Linked DNA regions of Caenorhabditis elegans. The protein of the gene in region 1 interacts with the protein of each later gene in a pairwise test. Each region holds a gene or a part of one and is shown on either strand. Other genes may lie near its edges.

Region 1 (8,496 bases):
CTCCACGATCTAATTTTACTGGATTTGCGGTGAACATAACTCCAGCCACTCCGTTTCGATCCATTTCTTGAATAACTACAGCCATTGACGGATTAAGCTGCTGACCGTAGTTTCTGTAAACGTCACATTGTGATTGAAATTTTAACTTGTTAAAACCTACTTTCTGTAATTCAATACTTCTCTTCTAAAATTAGAGCCCCAACACAGCTTCAGTTTATCAACTATATCAATTTCAATCACATCCAAGTAACTTTCCAGTTGTCCAGCTGATGAAAGATCTGCTCCATCTTCTCCAACTGCAGATGATCTTACTGCATAGTATTCAGAACGCGGTAACCACTCCTTAATTTCTTTTTGCAGTTCTTGAGACACTTCACTTTCGAAAAGAAGCCCTTCAATTCTAAAATATGTCATGTTTCTAAATATTGGATTGATAACTTATTTTATTACCTTTTACCAACATCCTCATAATACTCGGCATTTTTATCGTTGATATCGAGAAGTTTTATTTCTTCTAAAACATTTGGATTCGCAATTACATGCTTGTTGAAAGCTGCGGTAGTGACAACTATTCCAGGAGGCACATGGAACTGAAAATCTATTTCAACATTGTATATGCTTACTTTCAGAACTTACATCATCGGTGATTGCTTGAAGTCTTGCTAAATTCGCACCTTTTCCGCCAGTTAACATTTTATCCTGACATGCTCTGTGATTGAATGAGACTACTGATTTCATCTTTTCTGATTCAGTTGCATGATATTCCGGGAAACTATCGGGAAGTTTAGTTGTAACTTCATGAATTGCCTCTCTCACTCTAACCACAAATCCAACTCCCGTAAAAATTGCAGAATTAACTTCTAACGCAGTAACGTCGACAACCTTGTTGTCTTCTCGAATAAACGTGAAATGACATAATTTTCGTCCTTTTCTCATTTCAAGAGGGAGAAGTCCACGTGAAACATATTTGAATTGAACTGGAAGCATATTATCTGACTCAAGGGAATGAGAATTATCAATAATTATTGGACGAGCACTGTGATCTGAACGGAATCCCACTCCGTGACTAACTGATTTCTTTTCATCTACAGAGTTGACACGATAGGAAATTGCATTTGCATCCTGAAAACTACTTTCTTAAGCGGGATAAGCCAAAAAGTATTTCTACTTTTCTATAATACAAAAAAGATAAATAAACCTTACGCTCAGGTATGTATGAAAATGTGTAGAACTTGTCTCCAAGTCTAATGGATTTCTATGACGAAGTCCTGAAACTTTGATGGAATTTGGTTTTTGTATCGTGTGTTTTCAACCTCTATATCTATGTTCGACAACTTCATCTTTCCCAATTTTGATTTCTGCGTGATATTCACCCATTTGGTTTAACACATTTCCTTTTCGGTACCTAAAGTTGATATAACGTATTTGTAAGAAATGATTCAGTCACTTTTCGATAGTTTTCAAATTCTCAATCAGTGCAGTTGGTTTGTCATTGTAAATTTCATTGAATGACTTCAAAAGAGCATTTGAATAGAAAAATCTAGCATTCGACACACATTTCCACCATCCCGAAAGTATAACAAAATGAGAGTTGCCTTTAGCATCATTCAGGTATCCACGGAAATTAATTCTCCATTTACGGAATGGGTTTCGAAGCTCAATTAGCAATGGTCCACATGAAATTGTTCGATTATCGGAGAATACTGCTTTGTATGATCCGGAATAAAGAATTCCTTTTTCGAAAACTCGAATATGAGCAAAATGAATTTCATTCTTTGTTATAACTTGAATATACACAAAACTATTATCTTCTCCAGAACCGCTAATTGTTAGAATTTCCTGCAAAAAAAGGACGAATTTCGTGTCTATTTTTATTATTCATACTTCATTTTTAATATGTTCCAGTTCCCATTCCTCTTTATCAGGGTTTATAATGTCACGAATCTTTGCAGTTGGAGCAGTGAACTTTCTGAAATTGTATTGAGTCTACTGTAGCCTTTTTTAGTTTAAAAAAAATCAAAAAAATCTCGGTAATTCACTAGAACTTATAAAAAGACAATATGCATGAATACCATCAATATGCAAGAAGGGAACAGTTAAAGATTTTATTTTGAAAATGTTTTAAAAGTACGATTTCCAAATTTCGATCAGCGAAAAAAAATGAGTGGTATTTAAAGTATTGCAAAAACGTTTGAGTAATTTTTTAAATCAATCTTTTATCTATTCAAGCACATGTCTTTTCTTTAAATACTATAAGAGTGAACGAATCGGATAGTCATCGTTCATATTTTCCATAGAAATCTAGATAGAAGTTTCAACTTTTTGTCAATTTATCAAAGTATGGTTTCTGCTATTCATTCAAAAAAAAAAGTGTGCTCACTTGTTAATCAACTGATAGTATCAAATCACAATTGACAAAAAACTCGAATTTCAATATAGATAACCAGTTTGGGTCGTAAACAAAAAAGTGATCAATTGCCCCATACTGGGTCCATAATCACATTAGTACTCACTTGACCGGATGTCTCCATTTAAGGAACGCGTATATCACTGGATACAATACAAACTTGCATAGTGGAGCTGAAAGAAACAGCAAAAACAGGAATATCAACATTTGTTCTGTAAATACGTAGAATTTTATGTCAATAGCAATACATGTAAGAACATCAATAACTGAAGAGATAGATCTTGATAGTATTTTAGTAATCAGAGATAGCTTCAAGTGTACTTGTCTTGAAACGGTTTATAAAATAGTTTTAAAATGTATATATTTGCCAACTGATTTTCATGTGACACTTAGAATATCTATGTAGTTTGATAAAAGACTCTTGATTAAATCATTAAATAAATACAAAAGTACGTGCAGATTTGATAGTGATTGTGCTAATAAATTAGTGTTGTTGTATTGAAGGTCAAATATTTGTTGTTGGAAAATGGAAAAGATCAATAGCTTCTAGCAACTTATATGTCAAACTCGGCAAACAAAGATTAATTGAGAAATTTTAGTGAATTTTTAAGGCTCAATAATCGGGCATATTGTTTCTATAAAAAATCATCGCTAGACATTCATCTATATCACATCATAGATGAGTATATCATAGCAGAGCTGTCGGTTTTTTGCTTTTTTGGTTTTTTCGTAAAAATGGATTTTTGATTTTTTTTTCAGACCAAATTAACAGAAAAATTGTTTTTCAAAGATGTTATGTTTTAGTTGGATTGATGAAAAATCGAAAAAAATAGAGTGTTTTTTTTTTGGTTTTCTGGAGAAATTCGATTTTTTGTTGTTTTTCACAGCCCTCACAAGGTATATCATCACAAGCCTATCATCACGGCCATATACTCTAATAGTATGACATGCAAGTCGAATTCCAGAGAAGTTAGTACTAAATAATAGAGAATACAATAGAGATGTCACACAATGAATAATCTATGGCAAGGGCTCGAAGAAGAATTCGGCAAAAAAATTGAATAGTTTGAGTACAAACCATGTTTTCCAAAAACGACCAGTCATTGCAGAGAAGTTAACTAGAAAGAATGTGAATTTCTATGTTTATACTTCTAGCATTGGTAAGTTCAAAAAATAAGAAACTGGAAAAGTTGAGTGCTGAAGAATCTTATGGCACATATAAACTGTGGCTGATAACGAAATGATTTGGTTGAACGTATAAGTAGTTATCAGGAAATAATCAATAACTAAGTTTATGACGATGATGATTTTTTCGATAACTGAATTGACGGCGCAAATAAAACCAGCCGACGTATTTAATTTCCATCTGGGTGGTCTTCTAATTCGAATATTGGATATGTTCTTTGCAATGTTGTGAATGTTTATGGGAAGACATTTTTTACAAGAAAAATCTTTTTGTGATAATGATAATGATTACAAATACACTAAAATGGGCTCTTTCTTCCTATGCAAAAAGAAGACGTTCGGACGGTGGTGAATCAGAAATTTAGTCATGGGCATCGTCGTGACCGTGATGTCCGTGATTACGGTACTTGTACTTGAGTCGCTGCTCTTCTGGAACGGCAAAATCGTAGACAACAGTTCCGGCTTTGATGATTCCGAAAAGAAGAGCCAATCGCCACACAATTTTCAAATATTGACCATATGGAGATTGACGGAAGAAGTCGGGGTCTTTGTTCTGAAATAAAACAATACAAATCGCATTGCGTTTTATTTTATGCTGTCACTTTTTAAAAATTGAACGTTTTCTTGTTTAAAATTTTTTTAATTACTTATGCATGAGAAAATTGATTTTTTTTGTAGTACTTATGCCATTTCATAACAAAATATATGATTTTGTGAAGAACTTTGAAATTTTTTTAAAAACATTATGGCGGCTTCAAAAGCCAAGTTTTTAGCCTCGCCGGACAGTCCCGACACTATAAATCTATAGCTGTGGAAGCTTTATGATCAAAAAATTAAAAATTCAGTAAACTAAGTACTAAGGTTATCTTATTTTGAAAGCATTGCAATTAATTCTCAAAACAAAAACATATTTTCGAACTATTTTCGAACCGACTGTACTTTCGGGAACATAATTAATTCTTTAAAAAACTCACAATTGCACGATAAGCAGCTGTCGTCTCCTGCTTGGCTTCACCAAACAAAAACATTTTTGGCATGTTGTTCACATTATCCCATTTTCCCTCACTTCCGAGTCTGTTGATTTCTTTCCAGACGGCGTGGGAGTCACTGCAATAATTTGAAAATTTATGATTCAAAAATTCACCAATTTAGGAAACTGTTTTGTATTCGAGGGATAGATATTACAAGCATTGAAAAATCAATTTTGTTCTTTAAGAGATCAACAATTTAATGCATTTTTTAATGCTTTTAAAGGGAGCAAACGCATATTTTTGGATAGATGATTAAATATTTAGTATTTCGGAACAGATTAAATAAGAAAGTGAGCATTTGTTATATTTGTTAAGAATAATCACTTAGTAAACTAATTGCATTACGAATACGAAAAAGCTATTGTTTAAAATAAAATTCCTGGTAAGAACACAGATATTTTCTGAAATATCGAAAATTCCATTGATATCGTTTTTTAACATGATTTCTTGACATCAGATTATTTAGCCTTTAACACTAAAAAAAACTTACTGAGAGTGAGACGATGCTTGTCGAACTGCAATACGTGCAACCTGGCGGCCGGCGTGAGATAAGCCTGACATGGCGAAATCACCTGAAAATAATTTTTAGAATTTGTGTTGAGAAAATGAAAATTTGATAGGAATTGTTCGATTTTCACAATTTATGCAAAAAACCTCAAACAGTATGGAAATTGTTAAATTATAGAAGAAAGAAAAAATAAAAATAAAAATTGCCCGAACACCAAAAGCGCGCCAGTGGACGTCGCTGACGCACTATTCGACGTACTGGCGCACTTCTTGCTAATATTTTTTTTGCGTTGACGTTGCAGATTTACTCCGTTTTTTCCCTTTCAAAAATATTCTCAATTTTTTGAAAATGAGTCACACAATTCTTCTGCTCCAACCGACAGACAACATCGAGTCACGTTCATGGTCGGATTATGAGAATACCACGGAATGTCTTGAAGGTGAGTAACAAAAACCAAATTACATTTTAAAATTAAAAGTTTATAATCAATTAAAAACTTTTAACTTATAGGAATCTGCAGAGTCTACGAAGAATATTTGAAAAAGAAGGTTCCGGCTCAAAACGAAATCACCTATGACATATCGCACCTTTTCGAGTTCATCGACGACCTCAAAGATCTTTCAATGCTGGTTCTCGACAATGTTGGTTTTTAAAACATATTTTAAATATCGGAAAAAAAATTGCAGACAACATACACATATGTCCCCCACAATAAGCAATATGTAAAGGAGAGCATCTACAAATTAATGAACAACAGGCTCAATAATCAGCACTGATTACCATCCATATGGGTTTCTCACTTCTATCTCTTTCCAACGTTCTCTTTTCTCACTTTTTACGGATTCAGTCCTAAGTTTTAAACTCTTTTCCAAAAAATGTGAAAACGAAATTTCATATCCAGTTATACAATTCATCCGCAACCACATGAATAAATATTTTTAAATGGTGTTATTTCTCTACGTTTATAATTACAGCAGTTGTTTTCTGTGTATTATTTATTTCATTTGGAATTAGTGATTTTCGAAATTTACAAAAATCTTCAAATTGTTCAGAATGATGGTGTCTCCTCCGCAAGAGGATACAGTGTTCAATACCGATTCAGATCCAGTTTATGAACGTAAGTATTAAACTATGGAAGGACTCGAGAGTTGGTAAGAATATTCAGATCATGCCGCTCTCGTTTCCTCCCCATTTCACGCTGATGAAGATCATACATTCGATATTTCATTTGCTGCAGAAGCAACGGACGACATGACATTCAATGATACGACTACAGATGGAAATGGACAAGAATCTGTTCCATTGGAGGCATTGACAGTAGTTGAAATAGAAAAAACATCTAAAGGTATAAATTGTATTTTTAAACGTCTATATAGTACTCATTTTACAGGTTTCGGATTCAATATAGTTGGTGGAACAGACAATCCTCACTTTGTTGGAGATATCGGAATATACGTCTCATCAGTTAATAGCGAGTCAAAATCATATGGAGTCGTAAGAACAGGCGATAAAATTTTGTCGGTTAGTTTCCGATTAAAGTAATTATTAATTTAAATTGTTCCAATGTTTAGTTTGACGGTATCGATATGACCTACAAGACACACGATGAAGCTGTGGAAGTATTTCGAAGTGTTAAAATCGGTCATGTGGCTAAAATGTTGATTGATCGAGAATACTTACATCTTCAAGAAGATCGAACACAAACTCCAACTGCTTCTGTTTCAATTACTCCTCAAGTCACTCCACAGACTCGTAGTACTCAGAATAATACAGACACACCAAAGTCGATGTCGCATTCGGAATCAAAAAGCCGTTTGACGTCTCATGGACTTTCGGCTGTTATAGAAAGGTAAATTTTAAAATTTTTCTGAATTTATTTCTTATTGATTTTCAGAATTCGTGGAAAAGTTTACGAAGAAGAAGATGCTCAAAGTGTTACTTCCTATGCTCCTTCCACTCATTCCATCATTGACGATGTACCGAGAACACCACGTAAACCACTTAGTCTTTTGGATCCGAGAAAGTAAGTTTTATTAATCGGAAATTAAAAAATTCGCGATTTTTATTATTAAAATCTGACTGGACAGAAAAAAAAAATTAAATATTATTATTTGGTAAATAAATTTTTTTGGTGAAATTTTGGTAAATAAATTTGTCGAGAAATGACGAGAAATTCACTTGCATCATCCCATAAGCCTAAAAATTGAAATTGTATTGAAATAAACATTTACGTGTGAATTTAAATTAAAATATTGAGTAAAAAACATTTTGGGGGGGCAGAAATCGGAAAAGTACCAAATGATAACTTTCAGCAATTCTTGGCTAACCGAAGCTTTGTATGTTTCAATCGGTCTTGGAGCATTGACTATCTCTGGATACCTTGCCTACAGATTCATCAGAGGACGCCGTTGATCTTTTTCTCCCCATTTTCTGAATTAAATACTTGTAATATTAATTGTATTACCTCTCTCTCTCTCTGCTTTCTTCTCTTTTTTCTCGGTTTGTTCAATATTCAATTCAATTTTCTCTGTTATTCATCTGTTTCACTTCGTGACAATTTTTGGTGCTAAGTATAATGCGTATTATTGCGATGTAGAATAGGAAAAAAGTAAAATTCATAGATAACAATCCCACAGGTATAAAATAGAACTCCCAGCTTCTCGGTCAAAAAAGTTAATATTCAAATGTTCTTTACATTTTATCGACGTTTTAGTGCGAGTGGTGGGAATATTTTAGCCTTTTTTCTCTCTGAATCTTTCTCATTCTTCTCGCTCCATTATTTCGCACTAAGTGCTGCTCAAGTACCATTTCTATTCCGATTCTCTTTTTTTGTGAGCCATAATAATGAATATTGAACGTTTGTAATTTTATTTTTCTCCGATTTCAACACTGTCTCTTGCAGATTATTATATTTACTATCAAAATTTTTAGTTTTTTACTAATTCTTATTTCCAGAAATGATTCACAAATGAAATCAATGGATGACCGAACAGTAGGTCTTATATCTGCAAGTTCATCAAGAGCTTCACTCAAAATTCAACCGGAGATTGGTTATCCAAGAATATGTGATTATTGTCAGCCAATTATCGAGCTTATGACGGCTTCCGAGTTTGCACGACATATTCGACAAGATCATACGACAAAAGAAGGTGGTAGCTTTCTTTGTAGGTATGTTTTAAAAAATTTTGAAAAATAAAAATTCTAAATATAATTTTAAATCACAGTCAAGGGTGTCATCGAACATTTTTCGTTAACTATATTTTTTCAAGAGAATCGAAAAATCGAAAAAATAAATTTTTTCGATTTTCTGGAAAATAAAAAAAAACCATAAAATTACTTTTTTAAAAATCACATTTTGTTTATAT
Region 2 (8,821 bases), on another chromosome or scaffold:
CATCTTGATCTCTTTATAATTCTTCCTTCTCTCGTCAGCTTCCACTACTTTTTCCTGTTCTTTCAGTGCACGCTCCCACCAAGACACAAACTTTTCCATGTAGACAATTCCTGTGATCTTACTCAGCATGGCACGCTTGAAAATGTCTGGATGTTTAGTGATGAATGTTCCAACCAAGTTTTTAAGATTCAGTTTAAAACTGTGGAAATTCAATTTCTTCTCCTGTTCCGAAGCTTCGGTGACGAGCATTGCCAGCAAGTACTTCACCATAGTCTTATCCAAGTATTCAGGATTGTTTTCGGTCAGTTTGAGTCGATTGTAAAGCATAAACTTCAGAATATTATTTCCAACTTCAAAGCACTTTTTCTCGGTATAAGTCGGAGTTTTGTAGAAGTTAACAGTAGAATCATTAGAAATCCAATCAGAAATGATTTGTTCGGTTGTTGTGAAGCAGTTCGTCTGGAAAAAAAAAGTATTTTTACAATTCCTCAAAATTAATTTCAAGCATAATATTAGTTGAAATTTGCTTACCGAATTTAAAAATTTGACGCCGAGCAACTCCAAAAAAGGTTGTACAAAATCGAAATTAGCACAATCGCCTGGTGCTTCATAATATCGAATTCTATCAAAAGGAATGATGTCCCAGAGTTCACATGTCTCTAAGTCGTCCACATGATCTTCATAAAGTTCACAATCTTTCAGTTTCGTCCGTTTCACGCGAGCATCGATGTTCATCATTTCTCGTTCAACTTCGATCCACGAAATCTGCACGTCCCGTTGAGCTTGAAGACACGTCGCTATTGTTTCCTCGGTGCGTGAAATAAGAATATCAAAATCATCATTTTCCAATTTCTGAATATCTTCATCAGATAATTCTTCCGATTGTTTAAGCATCTTCTCTGCACCAACAGCACCTTCGTCGCCGATTCGCGGAAGACCAGATTCCCAGAATTCCTCCAATCTGACTTCCCGTTCTTTTGAATTAGTGCTCGTCCGCTTTTCAACATCAGCGAGTCCAAAATTGTATTCAAAAGTGGCCTGAAATAAGTAAAATCTTGAAAAAAAAAGTGATTTAATACTCACAAAACCAAAGGTTTCTTAGTATTTCCTAAAATCTCACCTGTATGTTTGCCAGTACCACTGGCGTGTGTGCACAGGAAATCATCCACTTCAAATAACGAATATAAATCCATAAATGGAACATTCTAAGCAATGGTCTATCGTTAACAGCATTCAAATGTGAAAGAAGTGTTCCATTTGTCAATCCAGTCACTTGTCGGATACAATCTTCGAATGCATTCTTCAATTTTTTGTAATTGTACACATTGCTATCATATTGTATATAGTCCAAATACTTGATCCATACCATTGGTTCATGTGGAAATGTGATGGTAAGATTTTTGAAGTCATCAATAATAGTAGGAGAGTTGGGATCCATTTTGATGAGTAATTCAATTTTCATCAATCGAAGTTTTGCATTTCTACCGTCGGCTTTAATGGCTTTTTTCACCATTTCCTGGTGACGTTCGGCAAGAGCTGCTGGATTTGAACTGGAGAAACTTCCAACATTCCGACGACACATTTCTTCTTCCATTGAAATTACTTTGATTAGAGCATCAATGTTATGAACATTTTCGGAAAATGTTTTCTTCGCCTGTTCGAGCTCAAATGTGAACGCATCTTTTCGATTATCCGAATCGTTTGCTAGAACATCATCGTCAATGTGCTGAAATCTTGGTTTTCGGTTTCCGATATATTCAAAATAACTCACATCAAGATTTAATAAATCAACTCTGTCACGAATCTTCCAGTAACCGCCGACTGGAGGCACATATCGAAAGAATGTCTCTTTCGGAACATCCTTCAAGTATCTATCCAGCTGCTCCCAGAATGGGCGGTTTTCCTTGTCTCTGGCATATTCCGCTCCATAAATATTCTGAAAACTGGTTTTTTGAAAAGATTAAAAAATAAGTGCCAAAACATACGTTGAACAGAATATTGTTATGCTCCAAACCGACAATAAACTTGACACTCAATCGACACTTGGCAATTTCTTTCTTCGGAACTCCTTGCGTATAGTTTTCACAATCACTTTTAGTTTGAGTAACTGTAATTTTTTCTCGTTGGAACTTTTTAAATTAACAATAATTTGAAAATTGCGCAGTATTTGCCGGCTGGCGATAATATGAATATTTAATTTCTAAATATATTTTAACTTTGAATCGTAAATAAGCATTAACTTTATTGTGATATGATCACTTTTTTCGATGAAAAAACTTACTAAACGCAGATGAAATGTACGCATCGCACGTGCGATATTCTTCATCGGTGAGAAATGCATATTTTGCAGGTTTGTTCATTTTCATTAAAGTGTGAGATGACGTATCCCGAGCACGAGATGACCTATCCCGAGAACGAGATGAACTAGAGCTTCGGCTACTGGATCTTTTTCGTCTGCGTTCCTTCTTTCTTCTCTTCTTTTCACGACTCCTGCTGCGTTGCCTGCCATTATCCCGATCGTATCGGCGACTGTGAGATCTCGATGGACTCCTGCTGTTGCTTGCTGAACGTTTACGACTTGTGGATTGTTGACTTGTTTCTGGTGGATCTTGGCAACCATTTAAGCTTTTAACGGACGGAAATGTATTGTAAGCAGTTGCCTGAGCTGCTCGGGCCGCAATTTTCGCGTCTCTCCTGAAATTTTATATTATTTTCAAACTAGAAAAATTATTTACGCACAAGGCATTTTGCTTTTTCACCTCTGGGAGAGTGAAAACATCATCTGGATCAATGTACCTGTGGGGGCTCATTCTAATCTGAAAGCAAAAATAAGTTTAAAGTTTAAATGTCACTGGCCTCACCCGAACACCACCATTATCGTCATCACTATCAGATTCTCCAATTCCAACTTGCTGAAAAACAGAGTCATTCTGCACGGCGAGTTTCTGTTTTTCGTTTCTTTTTAGAGTGGTAGTCTGAAATAAATCGCATGAAAGATGAAAAAAAAAACTAAATATTTCTCACCGCTCGTTGTTGAACAGCAGCCCTTGTTTGCGTATAAAGATCTGGATTCTCACCAGAAATTCCTGGAAAAATGAATTTTGCATTTATAAAAATGAGATGAATTCGTAGAAAAAACTTACTTTCTGGATTTTTCAATCCATTATTTCCATACGCTCGAAACATTGTTCATTAAGTTTGGTATGATATTACCCTGAAAACAGCTTAATTCACAATTTGCATAATTGTTTTTTTAATGAAAGAAAGAAAGTTTTAAACAAAAAAAAAAAGGAAAAATGTGACTGTTCGAAAAGAAAAACAAAGGTGTGGGAGGCCCCACGAAAAGGGGAGCAGAACGAAAAGGGGATCTGCAAAAAGGGGAGATACGAAAAGGGGAGATACGAAAAGGGGAGCTGGCACTGTGCCAAACGCACAAAACGCAATTTTTCTCACGCAACGCACGTTGATTTTTGAAGTTTTCTTCTAGAAGATACGCTTAACAACACGCGACGCGTAACATCGGAGCCGATGCACCATGTTTCGGATCGGTATAGGTTCAAAAGTGGTAGAATTATATAATTTATTACTGATAAATCCGTTGAATGATAAAAATGAGAAAGCTCATATTTAACATGCGACCTGCCGGTCCGGGAGTAAAACGAAGAAGTGACGATTTCCTTGCGCGGTGTCGACGTGTTGGGGTTTGATGTGCATGTGTGGTAGTACTGTAACACTCGTGACGTGTGTGTCTTTTGGCGCGGCTTTCAAACAGGAGTTTCCCGGCTTTGTCGTTGTTGATGACTTCGGTGGATTGTCGTGAGCATTTAGAATACGGAAAGACTTCGTAATAATCATAATAATTCTTTAATATTTCCTTGACGCATTTCCTGGGTATTAATATCATTTCTCAGTCGTGATCGGCGGAACATCAGTATTCTGCGTATTCGCGACAATCGTTGTATCGTTTTCTTCGAGAAAAATAGCGTTTGGCACAGTGCCAGATCCCCTTTTCGTTGCTCCCCTTTTCGTATCTCCCCTTTCCGTATCTCCCCTTTTCGCAGATCCCCTTTTTGCAGATCCCCTTTTCGTTCTGCTCCCCTTTTCGTGGGGCCTCAGATGTGGCCTTTGAACGCTGGCGCACTTTACGATATCGAGAAATGCGTCAGAAAATGTCATTGGAGCATAATCTGCCTTAGCGATTTCTGTTTTTTTCCAACAATCTTAATTTAATTTTTTAAAGTTTATTTTTCAATGCAGAATGTGTTTCAAAAAATAGAAATTCGTGAATTATAACGACGGCAGGTCTTTTTTGACGGCAGGTCCTTTAAATTCAGGGAAAATGAGCCGGAAAATCTGTTTTGCATCATCTAATTTTACTGAAAAGGTTGCAACTCTGTTTTAATACTACGTTTTCTTCAAGGATTACACAAAGTCTCTCCGAATTTCATTCCTTTAAAGAAATTATTGTTTCATACTTTGGCATAAGTACATATATAAATCATTTCCTTTAATCAATATTCCTTAGAATATTTTTGCACCATCCCAAGCTTCAATCTATTCTTTCAGATGTCTTGGTTATTTGGTGTTCAAAAAAACGCTACTCCGCAGATTCCGGATGATTTTCAAGCAGGTGCTGCTCCTGGCGGTCCACAACAACCAGGTCAAGGCCAACGGCAAGAGGGAAACAGCAAAATGGCATATTCCTTCGACTCAACAGCTTTGGAGCGTGCCGCCAAGGCTGCTCGTGATCTAGAGAAATTTCCAAATGCCAAAGAAGCTCTTGAATTGTCGAGAATGCAAGAAGTTACACGCCAAAAAGAGGTCGAGAACGAGACCAAGAAGATCGAAGCTCAATTGGCCAATATGAAATCAGAGCACATTCGTGTTGCTGAAGAAGAACGGAGGAAGACTTTGGGAGAAGAGACTAAACATGCGCATTCGGTAATTTTTCCAAACATCTGAATACATAACAACTAAATAATTTCAGCGTGCTGAATATCAAGATCAATTGGCCAGAAAGAGAGCCGAAGAGGAGCTTGCCATGAAAGCTAGAATGCAGGAAGAAAGCCTCCGAAAACAAGAAGAGTCTGTCAAGAAGCAGGAACAACTTCGCAAGCAAACTATTGAGCATGAGTTAGCATTAAAACACAAATACGAGCTCGAGAAAATTGACGCAGAGACCAGAGCCAGGGCAAAGGCTGCTCGAGATAACAGAGATGTAAACTTAGAGCAAATGAAGCTTCACGAAGAAGAGAACCGAAAAACTGTCATTGAAAAAATTAAAACCAGTGGAGAACTTATCGGTTCTGGACTCAATCAATTTTTGAATGATAAAACGAAAATCGCTGCTGCAGTAGGAGGATTGACTGCTTTGGCTGTCGGCTGGTATACCGCTAAACGAGGAACTGGAGTCACCGCAAGATACATCGAATCTCGTCTCGGAAAACCAAGTCTTGTAAGAGAAACATCCAGAATCACTCCACTTGAAGTACTCAAACACCCAATTAAAAGTGTTCAAATGATGACTCGTCAGAAGAAGGATCCACTGAATGGAGTTGTATTACCACCTGCTTTGGAACGTCGTCTTCGTGATATTGCCATTACCACCTCAAACACAAAGAGAAATAATGGACTTTTCCGTAATGTAATGTTCTACGGACCACCAGGAACCGGAAAGACACTTTTCGCAAAGAGTTTGGCTCAACATTCCGGACTCGATTACGCAGTTCTCACTGGAGGAGATATTGCTCCACTTGGACGTGATGGAGTATCTGCAATTCATAAAGTATTCGACTGGGCTTCAAAAAGTCGCAAAGGGTTGATTGTTTTTATTGACGAAGCTGACGCTTTTTTGCAAAAGAGATCAAAGAATGGAATGTCTGAAGACACACGTGCAGCTCTCAACGCTTTCCTCTTCAGAACTGGAGAGCAGTCGAGAAAGTTCATGCTTGTCGTGGCTTCTAATCAGCCAGAGCAGTTCGATTGGGCAGTTAACGATCGGTAATCCTTTTTTTTAAATAAAAAACAGAATTTATTATTCTTTTCAGTTTCGATCAGCTTGTCGAATTCACACTGCCAGGAATGGAAGAACGTGAACGAATTCTTCTGCAATACTTCAACGAGCACATCGTCACTCCAGCAACTAGTGGATCTCGTTCTCAACGACTGAAACTCGATAACTTTGATTGGGTTGCTAAGTGTAATGAAGTTGCCAAAAAGACATCTGGAATGAGTGGAAGAGAATTGAGTAAACTTGTCATCGGATGGCAAGCTTCTGCATATGCATCTGAAACCGGAGTGCTCACCGAGGCTATCGTTGATCGTAATACTGCTGACGCAATGGTTCAACATGAACATAAGATGGAATGGCTTGAGAAGGAGCAATTGAAAGCTCGTAACCAAGAAGTCAAGTTCGGAACTACGTTGAAGAGAGAAACTGCTGTTTAATTTCAAAATATTCATTTCCTTGTTCATGATACTCTATTGTTTTCTATTTACGTTTTTTTGTTGTTTTTTCTTTTCTGAAATCTTCAAACTTCCGGTAATTTCGTAATTTCATTCTTAATCAGAAATTTTGCTGATAATATAATTTTTTTAGATAATTCAATTAGGCCCTTGTTTTTCTATTGTTTTTTTTCGTTTTCCCCTTATTTTCTAGGTCAGTCATTTTTATTTAGTTTTTGTGTAGTAATTTAAGTAGAGTGAAAGATTATTGTTTTTTTTTTGTTAATAAAGAAACTCTTCATTTTAATGTAATACTAACTAATAATCGCTTTTGTTGCACTTCAATTTTTCATATTTTGAAAGCTTCTGAAGAGAAAAAGCAAAAAAAATAATTTTCAGCCCAAATGTTCGATTAAAACGATCAAATGGATACTGAAACAAAAAACTTGCGGGAGGCCGGAGAGGTCTTTCTGTTTATGCACAGGTAAGAAGGAAAAAGCTGGCAATATATGGTTTTTTCAGAAAATAAGAAATCAATTGAAATTAAACGTTTATGAGCTTTTAGCCTAATATTTCCAGAAAAGCAACAATAAAAAGCTAGAAACCACAATTTTCAATATCAGAAATCCTGAAAAACAATAATTTCAGAATCTTCCGTGCATCCCGCAATCTTCGTGCACATTGGTACATTGATCATCTCGGAAAGGCCGTATCAATCGAAGAAGTTCCACAATGCTCATCATATAAACCATCAAAAGATCCAAAAGATGAGTACAGGCAAGAGATGACAGTCATCGGGATTGTACCAGCCGGAGGAGATGGTACAGAAGTCGTTGGAGACGAGCAATTCATTGTGACTGTCAGAACGAAATGCACATATATATCCAGATATTATCGAATTGTTTTTGTTCTTGATCTCAGTCCATCCGTTGTTATGGCGGTGAGTTGGTTTTGGCACGGCTGCGCTGCATTGTTCATCTGAAAATTCTACAAAATGAGCCTTGGTTTTTTGGTCCCAAAAACCAAAAAATCAATGTTTCGTCAAAATACCAAAAAAAAAAACAAATGAAAAACCTAACAAGTCCCAGCCCAGAGCAATTGTGCGAAATCACGTAATTTTTCAGGACGATGAATCCAACTGTTGCCTCGTTGATCGAATCATCCCAAGCCTTCGAAATGCTCTACGATCATCAGTAAAATCATTTGTCATACCCGGAACGAATCGAATTTTTCGTCCTCAAGTTCACACGTCCATCTGCTTGTTCACACCTTTTATGAAGTTTGAGGAGACTTTTGTACGTTCTTTTTTCCGCTTGCATCCGAATTCATAAATTATTTCAGACGTTATGCCAAGGAGTCTTCGTCACTGAATCAAATGTTGATATGGTAATTGAATCGGTTGAGATAAAGTTCGTCGACATCTACAAACGACTGTTCACCTTCTCCCGTCCGATTCTCGAAATGTGGGGAAAACTGAAACGTCGTCACAAGCACAATAAATTCGATTCACTTTGTGAGAGTGACTCGCAGAGTGAAGATTGCAGTCGAAAAGTACCATCAGCGGAAAATATTCACTTATCTGAATCTTCCGCAGCATCGACTTCACACAAAAATGATGGAGATGCAGACAGAGCAATGGATGGTGGGAATCTTATGTCAATACAACGTGGAATATGGTCTGCAACTGAACGTCATGAAGATCAGAAACAATTGTCATTTGCAAGTGATAAGAGTTATGTTGCACCGGATTGGTCGCTGATATTTATGCTTCGAATGGGTCTTTTACAGATTCAGATGCTCCCCGAAAATACTCAATCTAGTGAGTTATCAAGTCACAGGGCTGGGAACAAAAAAAATTAGATTTCCCAGAAATTGAAAAAAAAAAGTTTTTTCGATTTTCTGATATTCTGAAAAAAAAACAGATTTTACAGATAAGTGGAAAAACGAAAAAAAAATTCAATTTCACAAAAGAAAGGTTTTTAAAAAAATATTTTCGATTTTTCAAAAATTAGCTTCAAATTTTGGTTTTTTCTCAAATTATGAACAAAATTAGAATTAAAAAATCATATTTTATGATTCTTTTTTTTTTTTTGAATTACCGATATTCCGAAGAAAAATTGCGATTTTTCGAACAGCGGAAAAACTTTTTAAAAATTTCGATTTTACAAAAATTTGGACTTTTCTTTTGAAGATTTTCCAATTTTTGAAAATCGAGAAAAAAATCAAATCACAAAAATGGGTAAAAATATAGTTGTTTCGATTTTCCGATATTCCAAAGAAAAAAAAAGTGTCTTTCCATATTTAAAAAAATTGAACTTTAAAAAATTTGACTGAAAATTTATTCTAAAAATTGTAAAATTGAAAATTTGAGCTTTTT

Evidence for each region.
Region 2: the proteins of mics-1 (region 1) and atad-3 interact in a two-hybrid assay, tested with the Caenorhabditis elegans proteins (one study listed by BioGRID).

The regions. Positions count from the first base shown.
Region 1 is NC_003283.11:10,576,010-10,584,505, reverse strand, and holds mics-1 (PDZ domain-containing protein), read left to right. Parts: upstream 1-6,179; 5' UTR 6,180-6,184; coding exon 6,185-6,248; intron 6,249-6,296; coding exon 6,297-6,476; intron 6,477-6,521; coding exon 6,522-6,652; intron 6,653-6,702; coding exon 6,703-6,980; intron 6,981-7,025; coding exon 7,026-7,154; intron 7,155-7,443; coding exon 7,444-7,543; 3' UTR 7,544-7,996; downstream 7,997-8,496. Other genes in the region: T21C9.6 (Phosphoenolpyruvate synthase), read right to left, coding at 1-113, 161-400, 451-590, 637-1,122, 1,204-1,268, 1,314-1,405, 1,448-1,839, 1,885-1,969 and 1 more; lpd-9 (LiPid Depleted), read right to left, coding at 3,954-4,145, 4,567-4,699, 5,114-5,184; erh-1 (Enhancer of rudimentary homolog), read left to right, coding at 5,480-5,570, 5,642-5,772, 5,818-5,907; vps-54 (Vacuolar protein sorting-associated protein 54), read left to right, coding at 8,100-8,299. UniProt on the Caenorhabditis elegans protein: Plays a role in the regulation of lifespan in a partially daf-16-mediated manner, and may be involved in regulating the levels of reactive oxygen species production in response to heat stress.
Region 2 is NC_003280.10:10,244,425-10,253,245, forward strand, and holds atad-3 (ATPase family AAA domain-containing protein 3), read left to right. Parts: upstream 1-4,566; coding exon 4,567-4,941; intron 4,942-4,987; coding exon 4,988-6,000; intron 6,001-6,047; coding exon 6,048-6,447; 3' UTR 6,448-6,740; downstream 6,741-8,821. Other genes in the region: nrde-2 (Nuclear exosome regulator NRDE2), read right to left, coding at 1-459, 532-1,038, 1,121-1,726, 1,772-1,936, 1,986-2,107, 2,282-2,694, 2,740-2,816, 2,862-2,975 and 2 more; F54B3.1 (Protein SZT2), read left to right, coding at 6,870-6,928, 7,093-7,384, 7,569-7,739, 7,786-8,263. UniProt on the Caenorhabditis elegans protein: Essential for mitochondrial network organization, mitochondrial metabolism and cell growth at organism and cellular level. Important during development for the up-regulation of mitochondrial activity during the transition to higher larval stages.